2 linked regions of the Schizosaccharomyces pombe genome follow. Changing the gene in region 1 together with any one later gene gives a genetic interaction. Each region holds a gene or a part of one and is shown in the gene's direction. Other genes may lie near its edges.

Evidence for each region. Genes that interact genetically often act in the same process or in processes that back each other up.
Region 2: of pzh1 (region 1) and trk1, changing one suppresses a phenotype caused by changing the other (phenotypic suppression), as found in Schizosaccharomyces pombe (one study listed by BioGRID).

Annotation. Positions count from the first base shown.
Region 1 is NC_003424.3:1,525,909-1,533,306, reverse strand, and holds pzh1 (serine/threonine protein phosphatase Pzh1), read left to right. Parts: upstream 1-3,534; 5' UTR 3,535-3,795; coding exon 3,796-5,343; 3' UTR 5,344-5,742; downstream 5,743-7,398. Other genes in the region: U3 snoRNP protein Utp14, read left to right, coding at 1-1,994; SPOM_SPAC57A7.07C (homocysteine methyltransferase), read right to left, coding at 2,192-3,118; rnf13 (RING finger protein), read left to right, coding at 7,158-7,398.
Region 2 is NC_003424.3:2,815,836-2,823,595, reverse strand, and holds trk1 (plasma membrane potassium ion transmembrane transporter Trk1), read left to right. Parts: upstream 1-2,524; 5' UTR 2,525-2,814; coding exon 2,815-5,340; 3' UTR 5,341-5,410; coding exon of another isoform or gene 5,411-5,518; 3' UTR 5,519-5,558; downstream 5,559-7,760. Other genes in the region: glycine--tRNA (Gly) ligase Grs1, read right to left, coding at 152-2,110; MCM complex subunit Mcm5, read right to left, coding at 5,411-5,518, 5,559-5,931, 5,973-7,654. UniProt on the Schizosaccharomyces pombe protein: Together with TRK2, defines the major, high-affinity potassium influx transport system. Involved in maintenance of the proper sodium/potassium ratio in the cell and in regulating the plasma membrane potential.

The DNA of each region.
Region 1 (7,398 bases):
TTAAATATGATCCTCATGAAACCAACAAAGAGTCAGAGTATAATTTAATTGGTTCTTCCGAGAAAACTATTGACATAACTGATTTGCTTGATTCTATACCGATGAATGAGCAGTTAAAAGTATCCCTAAAACCACTAGTTAGTGAGTCCTCCTCCATTTCCTCTAAGAAATTAGATGCTCCTTTGGCCAAGTCCATACAGGATCGGTTAGAAAGACAGGCTGCCTATGAACAAACAAAAAACGATTTAGAAAAATGGAAGCCTATCGTGGCTGATAATCGCAAGTCTGATCAGCTCATTTTCCCCATGAATGAAACAGCTCGCCCTGTCCCTAGTAATAATGGACTGGCCTCTAGCTTTGAGCCTAGGACTGAATCTGAGAGAAAGATGCACCAGGCTTTACTAGATGCAGGTCTTGAAAATGAATCAGCGCTGAAAAAACAAGAAGAATTAGCCTTAAATAAACTTTCTGTTGAAGAAGTTGCTGAAAGAACTCGTCAGCTTCGATTTATGCGAGAGCTAATGTTCCGTGAGGAAAGAAAGGCCAAACGTGTTGCTAAAATAAAAAGCAAAACTTACAGGAAGATCAGAAAGAATCGTAAAGAAAAAGAAATGGCTTTAATTCCTAAGAGTGAAGAGGATCTTGAGAATGAACGGATTAAATCTGAAGAAGCTCGTGCTTTGGAAAGAATGACTCAACGTCACAAAAACACAAGCTCTTGGACCCGTAAAATGCTTGAAAGGGCGTCACATGGTGAAGGAACCCGTGAAGCAGTCAATGAGCAAATACGGAAAGGAGACGAGCTTATGCAACGTATCCATGGTAAAGAGATATCTGAAATGGATGGAGAAGATGTTTCTGAGTTCTCGGATAGCGATTATGACACAAATGAACAGGTGTCAACCGCTTTTGAAAAAATACGAAATGAAGAGGAACCAAAGTTAAAAGGTGTACTGGGCATGAAATTTATGCGTGATGCGTCCAATCGACAAAAGGCTTTAGTGCAAGATGAAATGCAAGCATTCGAAGACGAACTCGCAGGAGTACCCAATGAAGATGATACATCTCAAAAAGGAGAGGACGGGGTTCCTGGAGTATTAATAGGGAATAATACAGGCCGTCGTTCATTTAAGCCTTCCGAAGAAGCTGCAAAATTATCTTTGCCATCAAGGAAAAATCCCTTTGTTTCTGATTCAGCGGTGCTGAAAGTCAACAAACCGGAAATGAAGGAAGGACAAAAGAAGGCCGAAGCTCGAAAAAAAAAGGAATCACCATTAGAAGCAACTGAGGAAACTAATCCATGGTTGCAAGTACCTGACCAAAGGACCTCTTCTGCCAAAAAGTTGGATAAAAACAGCTCTAAGGCAGACAAAAAGAATCACAAGTTAAAAATGGACAAAGTTGCCTCCCTTCAAGAACTTGTCGAAGAACCTAAAGTTCAGCCTGATTTAATTTTTGAAGAAAAGGCTTTTGAATCAGCGTCGGAAGCGGAATCGGATGTTGATGTTTCGGTACCTATGTTAAAGCCAACCAAAGGTCGTTTGTCAATTAAGCAGAGAGAGCTTGTTGCTAAAGCATTTGCTGGCGACGATGTTGTCGCTGAATTTGAAAAGGATAAAGAAGACTGGGTTCAAGAGGATGCACCGAAAGAAGAAGATCATAGTTTGCCCGGTTGGGGTTCATGGGGAGGTGTTGGCGTAAAACAAAGAAAGACTAAGCCTAAGGTTAAAAAAATTGCTGGACTAGATCCGTCAAAGCGGAAGGATTCTAAGCTAAAGCATGTGATTATTAATGAAAAACGCAACAAGAAAGCTGCTAAGCTTACTGCTGATAGTGTTCCGTTCCCATTTGAATCACGAGAACAGTATGAACGATCTCTTAACTTGCCTATGGGACCAGAATGGACTACTCGAGCTTCACATCATAAGGCTGTTGCTCCCAGAGTTGTTACCAAACGTGGTAAAGTCATTAATCCTATTAAGGCACCTAATTAGATTCTTATATGTACATTGAGTTTTGGATTTTTGTTATTAGATTGATATCTTTTGCAGTAGATTAGATACATTTGTAATGGATTTTGGGATATTGGGAAGAAATATATATTTTGAGGTAAATACTTTAAACAAGAAAAAAATTAATTCAATACAAATATATTAATATCATGAGGAAAATTAATTAAAATGGTTATAATTTACTTCGTTTTCTCCCGGAGTAAAGATAAGTGATTATAATTTGTTTCACAGCATCCACCGAGTATCAGGTTTCCATTATGTAGATTTGAGTATTTAGCCGTTATAGTTGACCATTCTTCAGGTGAAGGGGCAGGATGATCTGTTGAGCCAGGTGAAAAAGTACCGTCTGGATTTTGATACAACCCGCGGCCGTCAGGGTACAAAATAGCAGTTATGTTGGATGGTAAAAGACTGGATAGCATTTTTGCGATGGGTTCGAGTAAACTGAGGTGAAAGCAATTAACACCGATGCCCCATATAGAGTCATGATTGATGCTCAGTATCTTGGAGATAATGGACGATACTCGTTCAATAGTGCTGCGCTCAGGGCACGTACAGGTGATCCAGCAACGCTTAGACCAACCTTTCATATCTTGAATGAGTTGGCATACTACTTCTGCTTCAGTCACGTGAGGAAGGCTTTCAAATGCAATGAAGTCAATTTTTTCGAAAGCTTTAGGATTAGATGCTTGAATGGCTTCAATTCTGTTTTTATGAAAATTGTATAGCATTTCAAAATCGGTGGGTTTATCATAAATCATTTTGTATTCCATACATCCAGGAATAGTAGCAGCATGACTTCCGAGACATAAAGCAATATATTTGTTGGGCAAACCCAAATGTTCTCTAGCATAAACAGGTAACCCAATGCTGTTTGCGTAAACCTGTTTTAATGGTACACCTTCTACCTTTTCGTCGTAGATAGAAGCATCCAGTTGATAAGTGAAAGTACTAATAATGTCGCAAACTTTTAAAAATTCTTCATGATGCTTAACAACGATCTCTGGATAACGCACCAGTGCTTCAGAGGTCCATAATCTAGACTCAGATATACTTTCAGGAAGCTTTGGAAGAATGGCAGTAGAGCCACCGTCTAACATAAGCATTTTGGAAAACTCAAAAATTGGGAAAAATAGTTCAACGAACAGCAAAAATGGTATCTCAGGTTATACACTAGTATTAACAGATGTAACTGCCTTTTGATGGATATTACAACAGTTTAGAGAATATCGCACAATCAGAAACCCAATCGACCCAAAACAAAAACATTTGAGTAAGAATCAGACTAGTATATAACGTAACGCGAAATTTTTCCATATTTAATTTAACGTTAATTTACGTGGATCAATTGCGCCTTTTATTTTACTTTGGAATACACTGCAGTTATTATACAGTAAGTGCGCCATCATCGTTGCACCACACTAGATGGACCCAGCGAGTTCAGTTCTCGAGTAAGATGGAACGGGCTACTACGTCTATCAGATTTATACTACACTTCCCATCACTTGTTAACCCATTCTTCACCACGACCTTACAAATTTTTAAACGATTGTGTTTTGTCAGCAAAGCAAAACATTTTTATAGACCAGGATTACTTGAAGAAGAGAAAATCTACTAATTTACGGAAAATATCGAAAAATAGAAAAAATCTAGGTACAATTGGGAAACCTTTTAATTTTGGCACTAAATGCAAGCAACGAAGTCTCGATTTTGAAGTAAAAAAGAAAATAAAAATAGAACAAAGTGGAATAGTTTCCCGGAATCTACCATTAATTGAAATACAATGGGACAGGGGAGCAGTAAACACGCCGACAGCAAGCTCGATTCCTACCCATCCTTTTCTCGGTCAGACACTCAAGGATCCATTAAGTCTTTAAAGTCTCTGAAAACAGTCCTGGGGAAGGGCAAAGACTCGAATCATGATCGCCGAACGTCTACTGATACAACCCATAGTCGTCACCGGTATCCCGAAACACCACCAAGCCTTCCTCCTCCTCCTTCTCCTGGGATATTAGCTACATCTCCGGCTGTGTTGCAAAAGCATCAACAGGAGGATTCGGGAAATTCTTCTCAATCTCCGACGTCGCCGCATCCTTCTAACCAGCCTGCCATGCTTAGTCCCTCTACGGCCGCTTCCCAGCATCATCATCATCATTCTTCTTCTTCTTCTTATGCCGTTTCTCCAACATCACCTACCTCACCAACCAGCTCTGGCCCAATTGGCTCCAACTTTGATTCAGCTTCTGAGCATAATGGTCCTGTGTATCCACAAGATCAGCAGGGGCCCGTAATTATCCCTAATTCGGCAATTTCTTCTACGGATCCTGATGATCCTGAAACAGTTGTTAGCCTTAACGTAGATGAAATGATTCAAAGATTGATCCATGTTGGCTATTCTCGAAAAAGTAGTAAAAGTGTGTGTCTAAAGAATGCTGAAATTACCAGCATTTGTATGGCCGTACGAGAAATATTTCTTTCGCAGCCGACACTTTTAGAATTGACCCCGCCGGTGAAAATCGTTGGTGACGTTCATGGTCAATATTCCGATTTAATTCGACTGTTTGAAATGTGTGGGTTTCCTCCGAGCTCTAATTATTTATTCTTAGGCGATTATGTCGATCGTGGTAAGCAGAGTCTTGAAACCATCCTCTTGCTCTTTTTGTACAAGATCAGATATCCAGAAAACTTTTTCTTGCTACGGGGCAATCATGAATGCGCTAATATCACTCGCGTTTACGGTTTTTACGATGAGTGTAAAAGACGTTGCAATATCAAAATTTGGAAGACTTTCATAAACACCTTTAATTGCTTACCCATTGCGTCCGTTGTAGCCGGTAAAATTTTTTGCGTTCATGGTGGTCTTTCTCCATCGTTAAGTCATATGGATGACATACGGGAGATTCCTCGTCCTACTGACGTTCCTGACTATGGATTGCTGAATGATTTGTTATGGTCAGATCCTGCTGATACTGAAAACGATTGGGAAGATAATGAACGAGGTGTTTCTTTTGTTTTCAACAAAAACGTTATCCGGCAATTTTTGGCCAAGCACGACTTTGATTTAATCTGTCGTGCTCACATGGTTGTTGAAGACGGTTATGAATTTTTTAATGACAGAACTTTATGTACGGTGTTTTCTGCCCCTAATTACTGTGGGGAATTTGATAATTGGGGGGCCGTGATGAGTGTTAATTCAGAGCTGCTTTGTTCCTTTGAACTTATAAAGCCTCTCGACCAGGCAGCAATTCGACGAGAATTAAAAAAGAGCAAGCGTAGTGGTATGGCTATTTATCAATCTCCCCCTGCTGAGCAGGTTACCCAAAGCGTGTAAGCATTCTATTTTTTCTATTTTGGTCTCCATTTGAAATTATCTAGCGGTTTTATTGGGACACTATTTTATTCTCTTAAATGAGTATTATCTGTTATTATGTTATAGTCACTATGGTGATGGATCAAGTCCTTGGTTCACTTTATCGGTTCGAGGGCAATTCCATCCTGACACGTTTAGTATAAGTTTCTGTTTCTTTTAATAAAAACACAATCATTTCCATATAGTGACAGTTAACTTGCTTTTTATTTTTGCTAACCGACACCTGCTGAACATCGAAAGAGTAGGTAAAAAATTTACATGAGGAGGAAATAAACAATTATTATAGTATTATTATTAGCATTAAATAAATTTAAAGCGAAAATGTATCCATTTCTTTGTAAATCTTCTATCAATTACTAATCTCCCATACGATGGGCTTAAAACAACACTTTGAAAACTAAAGTTGAATGTGGTATCGTACTTAAGTACTTCTTTCCATGATCCATTTGTGATAAGTATTTTGGTTTCCTTATTGTATAATGAGTAAGCTACTTTTGTTGCATAATGCTGCCAAGTAGGCAGTTCTTTGATAAATCTCCTGCGTTGTTTTGTTTGTGTCAGCTTTTTCGTTCAATCAAGATATTTTATCACATTATTTCAAGGTTCAATGAATCATTCGAAGAATAGTAACGAATTCAGATATATTAAATAAAGGCACACATAATCTCTAAAGATTACAGTTTAATGGCTCTTTCAAAGTGTTTAGTAATATATACACTAAATTTCTAAAATTCAGTAGTTATGGCGAAGTGGCCGAGTGGTCTATGGCGCTAGCTTCAGGTGAAAGCAATTGCTAGTCTACGTATGTGGGCGTGGGTTCGAACCCCACCTTCGTCAATATAATTTTTTATATCATGTTAATGGAATTGAGAAAAAGCAAGCTGTCAGTTTATACTTTCAATGTTATGCAGAAACCGTTTTATTTCAATTATTTACACTGTTTGACACTACTAAAGCAGAGTTAATTGTAATGAGACATAACGGTACATGGTGCTTCGACTTTCATAACCATTAAAGAAAAGAAGAATGTCTTGATTTTGGCTTATTTAAAGACCCATTGTGACTGGAAAAACAAATGACCCTACGTAGTAAAGGGTAAAATGAATTTTTTTTAATTTTTTTTTTAGATTCAATGTAGAAATATAATCGATTATCAGATTCATTGTCATGCCTGATAATCCATGTATGATACTATGCAAAGATATAAAGAGAATTTTCTTCTTTTTTAAAAGTTGTTTTAAAGATAGAGGATGTTGTTTTTAAGCTGCTGAAACTGAATAATATAAGAAATCTAACGAGCAAGAGAATGCTCGACTTATGTTTACAATATTATATAGCTAAATATCTTAAGTTCTTATTATATAACTTTATACAGTACAATGATACTTTTCAATATTATATAAGTATTTACCTCTTTTGATCAGATACAAAGTATCTTTCAAGAGAGCTTGTTTTCTACTGACTGTTTCGTCTTTAAAATAAGTTGATTGGGAATAAATTGTATTAATTTTTTTTATCCCTCGCAAATATCGGATTTCCTTTTGTTGAACACTGCAACTTGCCTTAATGCTGACAATGTTACTAATCAATTGAATAATCCTGGCAACTACTAGTGAAAAGGGTTTTAAAATAAAATAAAATATCTCAAAATAGCTTACGCATACCTTTTTTGGTGACTCTGTAGTTATCGTTATACAGGTGCTATATAACTAAGCGGCTTCACCTTGCGGTATCCGTTCTTCCTCCACTCTTCACGCCTTCTGTAAATTATTAATATGTCGTATTATCAAATAATAGTTTGTATTCTAGCATCCATTAGTTATATCATTCTTCTAGAGGTAATTGCCTTAGATCTTGGAGTGTTAGATAACATATTTATTCCTAAGCGATTTGCGGCCAGTACAGATGTTGCCATTCAGCTGCCGGACCGTAATGTCACTCTATGGTCACGACAGGCAGTATTTGGTAAACATTTTACGAACGCTTCAGCTACCACTGTGATTAATCTTTATCTAC
Region 2 (7,760 bases), 1.3 Mb from region 1:
AAATATACCATGGACAGGAAAAAATGAAATTACCAACAAAGTATGCATAATTGGCGTTTCACTCCAGCTACTAAATCCTAGACATTGAATACATAAGAATAATACAATTAGTAAGTTATTTACTTTCCAGTATACTAGTGAGTTAAGTAACCTATTCTTGTGTAGACTTAAACTCTCCAAACTTAGCTAGTGCATCTTCAAAAGATGATTTTCCCTCGACCATAGAAACAAGAGCAGCAATAACTTCATCTTGACTACCACGAACTTGCTTAGTAGAATCACGTTCGCGAAGTGTAATAGTTTCGTTTTGAAGAGTCTCAAAGTCTACAGTCAACCCGAAGGGAGTTCCCAATTCATCGTTACGAGCATAGCGACGGCCAATATTGGCATTAGAATCGTCTATTTTATTAGAAATGCCAAGATTGCGAAGTTTGGCAGACAATTTCTTTACAAAAGGAGCGAACTCAGCATTGCGGCTCAAAGGAACAATGAGGGCCTTAATAGGTGCGATAGAAGCAGGGAAGGACAAAACACCACGGTTTACGTCTTCTGGTCTAGTCCAATAAGCATGTTCCATGAGTACATACAAGATTCTGCCTAATCCAAAGGATGGCTCGATAACATTAGGAGTATAAGTACGAATGTGTTCAGTATGCTTTCTCTTCTCAATTGTGACGAGATCAGATTCTACTGTATGCTCAACACCATTAACATTAACAATAATTTTACCTTCAGCAACAAGTTGAGCACTTTTTTCAACTTTTTCCGATTCCGGCCACGAAATCATAGCTTCCTCAACAGCCTTGGCATCACGTTTGAAACGTGGACCAAATTTTTTGCGATTAACTTCAACCTCGAATTGTTCAACAACAACAGGTTCAGGAAGAGCCTCTTGAACTACTAAAGGAGTCTTGGTAGCTTTACTGTGAACGCTAAGATCATAGGCACTACGATCAGCGCAACCTACACACTCGATCCAGCCGTAAGAGCATTGAATTTCGGCATCCCAGCAATCGCAAGCATAATGAGCCATTTCATTGCTCATATGTTGCCTAAAACGAACACGGTTCATATCAATACCAATTTTCTCCAAGAATAAGCTGATACGGGCCATAAAATAACCTAATGTAGTGTTATCAACAATTCCTTTCTTGACAGCATCACCTATGGGCATTTCCAAAATGTCAGTCTTTCCTTCTAATTGGACACCACGGGGCAACAAACGAAGGGGCATATGAGAAACCTCGTCAAATCTATCATGCTCTTTGTTTTTAGGATCGACAAAGTGTTCGACTTCGGCCATCAAAAACTCACGAACACGAAGCAGGCCACTCCGAGGAGAAATCTCATTACGGAAGGCTTTACCAACCATAGCACTGGCAAAGGGAACTTTGCCGTTATTAAACTCCAATAAACGGCTAAAGTTTAAAAATTGTCCTTGGGCAGTTTCAGGTCGGAGGTAACCTTTCAGACCACCACTGGGACCAATTTGAGTTTCAAACATTAAGTTGAACTGACGAGGGGTTTCAAGCTCACCGTTGGTTGCAGGGTTACGAATGTCATACTTCTTCATGAGCTCACCTAATTGATCTCCATCATAGTTGTCAATTTGGGCAAGAATAAACTCGTATTCCTCAACAGTCTTGTCATCCAGACGAGTCGCACGAATTTCCTTTACCTTCTTCTTACGCTTCTTCTTGTCATCAGATTCTTCAGGCTGGTCATTGGAATTCTGCCCACGAGCTTCCTTGTCACCCTTCAAACGGGCTTCCAAAACCTCTTCAACCAAGTGGTCGGCACGAAAGATTTCACCGGTAGCAGGGTCCTTACACATCCAATCTGCAAACTTATCAACATGCCCACTAGTCTTCAAAACTTCATGAGGAGTAAGCATGGAGCAATCAACCTCCAGCATGCTTTCTTCGATAACAAAGTGCTTTCGCCAAATATCAACCAGATTAGATTGAAGTGCACTACCTGGTGGGCCATAATCATACAATCCACTAATTCCACCATAGATTTGAAAAGAAGGAGAGAAGAAGAATCTCTTCTTCATTAACTCCTCGAACTGAGTTCGATCAAAAGCTGCTGCCTTTGAAACTTCTGTCATTTTTCTACTGAAAATCCGTTTAGCAAAGGCTGTGCAAGAAGAACGAAACGCTTGAAAAGAAATTATGCAAGCAAGGAGCGAAAAGCTTTAAAATGCCTGCTTTTCGCCTGGTTTTCAAATGTTTACGGAAGATAAACTGTTCAAAGCTAGAAATTTTGCTAGTTCGTAAAATTCATAGATAGTGCATTTTGTTAGGCTACATCAATTCATATTATGCGTTGTTATGCGAACTTTTGGACTTTCCTTAATTTAAATACGGTACCTGTAAAAAGTACTTGAACACTCTAAATCTTGTTAACATTTTTTACGGAACAACAACGATTTATGTTAAAGATCGTCAACAATCTCACTTCACTGCCCAAAGCGTACAACATGGTCGAAGTATAGGCTGAAACTTTGAACCGCTTAGAAACTACCTTCTACGGGAAAGAAGACGCGATTTTACGTTGTATTATAAGAGAGGAATCCTCAAGTATTGTTGAAAGGAATCGTCAAAGATTGGGTAAAAATGTCGTTTGTCATTTGTCATAATTCCCTTTTAGAAATTTAGTGGTTTCCTCATCAGTATCGCTTTTACCCGTAGATTTCAAAACTAATTGCTTCTTATCTTGTCCATAGTTAAGGATTTCCGTTAACTTCAAACCAATTTCTCTGTTTCTTGTTCTGTTGTTGGTGGGTTTGGCTGGAAGTATTGACTAAAATAAATGGTCCTAAATTACATTCAAAGATGGTTCAAGTGGGTGATACCAACTTTTGGATTCTTGGCAATTCATTATATTTACATTATATCCTTAACTATCATTGCCTCTATCCTACTTTTTACCGGAGGGACCACCACGAAAATCAAGTATATCGATGCTTTATTCTTAGCTAGCAGCGCAACTACCCAAACAGGCCTTAACAGTGTTGACTTAAATTCTTTATCTATCTGGCAGCAGTTTATCCTGTATGGATTTACTGCTATTACGGTTCCTATATGGATGCACGGAAGTATTTCCTTCATCCGGCTGTATTGGTTTCGACGAAAATTTAAAGACGTTGTTCGTCAAAATCGTACTCGAAAATTTCAGAGAAAGCTCCGTAAAAGCTTAATGAAAAAAAGCGAGGATGACGAAGAACAGGGTGTTCGTGGTAGAAAAATTCGTGTAATGTTACCATACCTACATTCACTAAGGAGTCCAACGTCTCTAAAAAACTTCTCGAGATTTGACACGCATGACAGTACGAACAATCCGTACTTTCCTGACAACCCCCCTTCTCCCAAGGCAGATATATCTAAAGACGAGTATTTTGGAAAGTATCTCCCAAAAAAGTCTGATACGCTAGACATGGATTTGGAAAGTCACAACATGACTTTTCATGACTATGAACCTTCCATTGAAAATAAAAATTACGATTTTGGTAGTTCGCATTCAGCCTCGATGCAAATGTATGAAATGGATGACCTTCATCCCCGACTTCGTAGACAAAGCTCTTTTATTTCCTCCGTTAATCCTTTAGAGGCTGACGACACCCGTGAAACTTTATCTGAAGGCGCCTTAGTTCAGGAATCTCTCCCTATGGCTTATAGTTATTCTGATACTAATTTGGTTGTATCGAGGGATTCATTTACTCTCACTGGGGACGACAATCTTTTCCCAGAAGGTGGTTTAAGGCCTGCCAATACAATAGACGGAATAGTAAGGTCGTCTCTGTCTTCTTCCTCCCTATCTAAAGACACTGAACCATCGACAGTTGACATGCATATTGCTTTCACCGGACTTAATAAGCCCACCATAGAGCGTGAACGTAATCTTAAACTTAGAAAAAAAAGTCGTTTTTATAAAAAATCTTTACGTTCCAGATTTTCGCGAGGACTTCATCGTCCAATACGTTGGACAAAGTCATTCACTTCTAACCGACGAAACTTGACTCTTGAACGAGTCCTTTCTTCTGCCTTTGCTAAAAAACGTGAGCCTTCTATTTCATCAAGACACACTACTATGTCACTTCCCTATTTGTCGTATAATCCTACTGTCGATCGTAATTCTGCTTTCGTTGCTTTGTCTAAAGAACAGCGGGACGAGCTGGGTGGAATTGAATATAGAGCTTTGAAATGCGTCTGCTCCATGGTTACCCTTTATTTTATCATTTTTAATATTGCTGCCTTTGTGACCTTCATTGTTTTTGCTTATACGGCAGTGGGATCGCGAGAGGTAATAGATTCTTATGACTTACGTCGTGGGTGGTGGGCGTTATTCTCGTCTGCTTCTTCATTTAATGATTTGGGGTTTTCTTTAATACCATCGTCTTTTGTGCCAATGAATCGAAACATTTTTCTTTTGTTGATTTCATCTTTATTCATTATCGCAGGTAACACGGGATTCCCTTGTTTTTTTAGAACATTCATTTGGACAACGTATAAGCTATACCCTTTTAGTTTTGAGAAGAAAGAAGCTATGGCATTTCTCCTTGATCATCCTCGACGATGTTTCACTTTATTGTTTCCATCTGGAGCAACCTGGGTCTTGTTTTTTGTTTTGCTGCTGCTTAATGTCATTGATCTGGTATTGTTCATGGTCTTAGATACTGGAAGTAAAGCAGTCGCTAGCCTTCCTAAAGGTATTAGGGTTGTAAATGCAATATTTCAATCAGTTTGTACAAGAACCGCAGGATTCACGAGTGTATCAATTAGTGAACTTCACCCAGCAGTACTGGTCAGTTACATGGTTATGATGTATATTTCTGTTTATCCAGTTGCTATCAACATGAGAAATACCAATGTTTATGAGGAGCGATCTTTGGGTGTTTACAGAACTGAAGATGATGAGGGGAAATCTTTCTTAAAAGATCACCTTACTGAACAATTAAGTTACGATTTATGGTATATTTTTCTAGGGCTATTCATCATATGCATTTGTGAAGGAGGTAAAATCTCCAATCCTCTAGATACCGATTTCAGTATTTTTACTGTCCTTTTTGAAGTAGTCTCTGCTTACGGTACGGTGGGACTTAGTACTGGATTAAGCTCCTCAAATTGTTCACTTTCAGCAAGATTTACTACTATAAGTAAACTAGTTATTATAGCACTTGAACTGCGCGGTAGACATAGAGGTTTACCCAGGGCTGTTGATCGAGCCATCCTTCTTCCTTCTGAAAAAAATAATCTGAAAGAAGAAGAAGATTATCAACGTCGTCACGGATTTTCCATAGACAACGCACGTGGCAGTATTGCAGTTTCTCGAGACTGATATTTCTTATCACGATCATGTATTATATTTGTAAATTATATCATCTAATAAATAGTACGCTCGCTAAATTTCATACTCCTGATCGATACACCGTTTGTCCGCCATTTCTGAGTTGAATTGTTTCCTTCGACGAAAGAATTTGTAAAGCCATTTCTAACGCGTGTTGTGAATATCCATGCTAAAATTATGTTAGACTTAGATTTAATCAATAAACATACCCCATTTACGTATTCTCGTATAAGCATACGGTAACTCGCCTGAAACCCTATAGGTAACCTTTTTCTTAAGCTGGCTTCAATTTTTTTTACTTCCTCAGTAACTTCAGGCGAACTTTGTGTAGCAGCAGCAAGTGTACTGGTCAAAAACAGTCGAATCGCTTCAGTAGCGTGAGCTTCAGAAGCAATAGGTGATAATGACATTTTTGCAAGGGATTCAGTAATTCGTATGATTGCCTCTAATTGACGAACAGTGATTGGAATGGTAGAACGCGAGTTACTGTCCTGCTCTGACTGATGAACACGTTTTCGAATTGCGACAAATTGACTAGATAGCTTTTCAGCTGCCTCTGCATCAAGATTAGGTGCACATTTGCTAAATCCATTAGTAACTAATATTAAATTTGGTATACTTACTGTCTACAATAGTTTATGTACCGCCGAAACTTATCAAAAGGAATTTCTCCAATTGCTAAAGTCTCACTAGATTCTTGTAAATTGGTATGAAGATTAATAACGTGACGGGCAATATTTCGATCCTTTGTTTCATCATGTTCATCCTTAACAATAAATATCATGTCGAATCTTGAAAGAATCGTAGATTGAAAATCAATGTTTTCACCTGGTGTCTTCATATCATCGTATCGGCCAAAAATTGGATTAGCAGCAGCTAAAACGGATGTCCTAGAATTCAATATAGTAGTGATACCGGCTTTAGCTATTGAAATAGTTTGTTGCTCCATTGCTTCGTGAATAGCAACACGATCTTCATCCCTCATTTTATCAAATTCATCAATACAGACAATGCCACCATCAGCAAGAACCATTGCGCCACCTTCAAGGTAAAATTCTCTGGTAACTGAGTCTCTTTGAATAGAAGCAGTCAAACCAGCAGCACTTGAACCTTTACCGGAAGTATAAACAGCGATGGGGGCCAGTCGCTCAACGAATTTCAAAAATTGAGATTTCGCAGTACCAGGATCACCAAGAAGTAAAACATTAATGTCACCACGAAGGCGCATACCATCGGGGAGAATTTTTTTAGAACCTGAAAAAAGTAGGCATGCAATAGCTTTCTTGATGTCTACATTACCATAAATAGCGGGAGATATGCTGTTGGATATAATATCGTACAAATTCGGAGTACGAGAAATTTCAAGGAACTCCTCTTCTTCCTCTTCACTAAATAAAGGAGTAGATTTAGAGCCATCATTTGAATCCATTTGAATACCCACGACTCTGATATAAGGGTTCCGAATGGCCACGGCACCACTAGCTTTAACAGACTTATTTTGAAAAATAGAAAAAATGCCAGTAATAACGCAGCGGGTTCCCGGAGTAATTTGGTTAGTTAAATAGCGATCAGCATTCAATAATATATGACGAGGCAACTCACCGACAGGAACCATATCAGGAGCTTCCTGTAGTTTAAGCACCTGCTGATCGATAAAAGTCGATTTTGAATGATCAATAATGAAAGGATCCATCGGGCAGTCTTTTTTTTCACCATCGAGAACAGGAGCTTCACAAACTCTAGGAAGCTGAACACCTGAAAATCCACCAGAAATCTGTAAAATCCTGGTAGCCCTACAATTTCTGCATACTAAGTGCAAAGCAGTTGCACGGCAGGAAAGTGTTGAAGCACCGATGATGATACCAGGCACTCTAACCAGTTTTGAGATATGAGAAGCTGTCAGGTTACGGATTGGAAGGATGTTAGCATCGTAACGTAGAGTTACCTGGCAAGTGGGGATATTCGTAGAAGCATTTTCTTGACTTCTATAAAGTAGGCGTTTAGCAACTGTAGTGACAGCAGACTCAAACAGAGGTAGAATATCTGTCGGCTGACTCAGAAGCAAATGAGCTAGATCTTCGTTATAACTGATCAGGTGCCTAAGATCTATGTTCAACATGTATTGTTTTACCACGAGATTGTCTCTTAGTTGAGTACGATAGATAAAGTCATTGTCAATCACAAATTCTTCAATAAACTGTATGAAATTCTTCTCATGACTAACATTGGAATCTAATTCTTGCTCTCCTGGGAGAACTGGGGTATAATATACAGCACTCCGTTCCCAACCTGTTGCTGCAGCCATTATTGTGATGAAAAAGACTAAGGGGAATGAGTTAAAAAAAAATAAAAAAGCGAGATAAAAAAGATGATATGGTATAAAATAAAGGATGAAGCAAATTTCGCTGCTC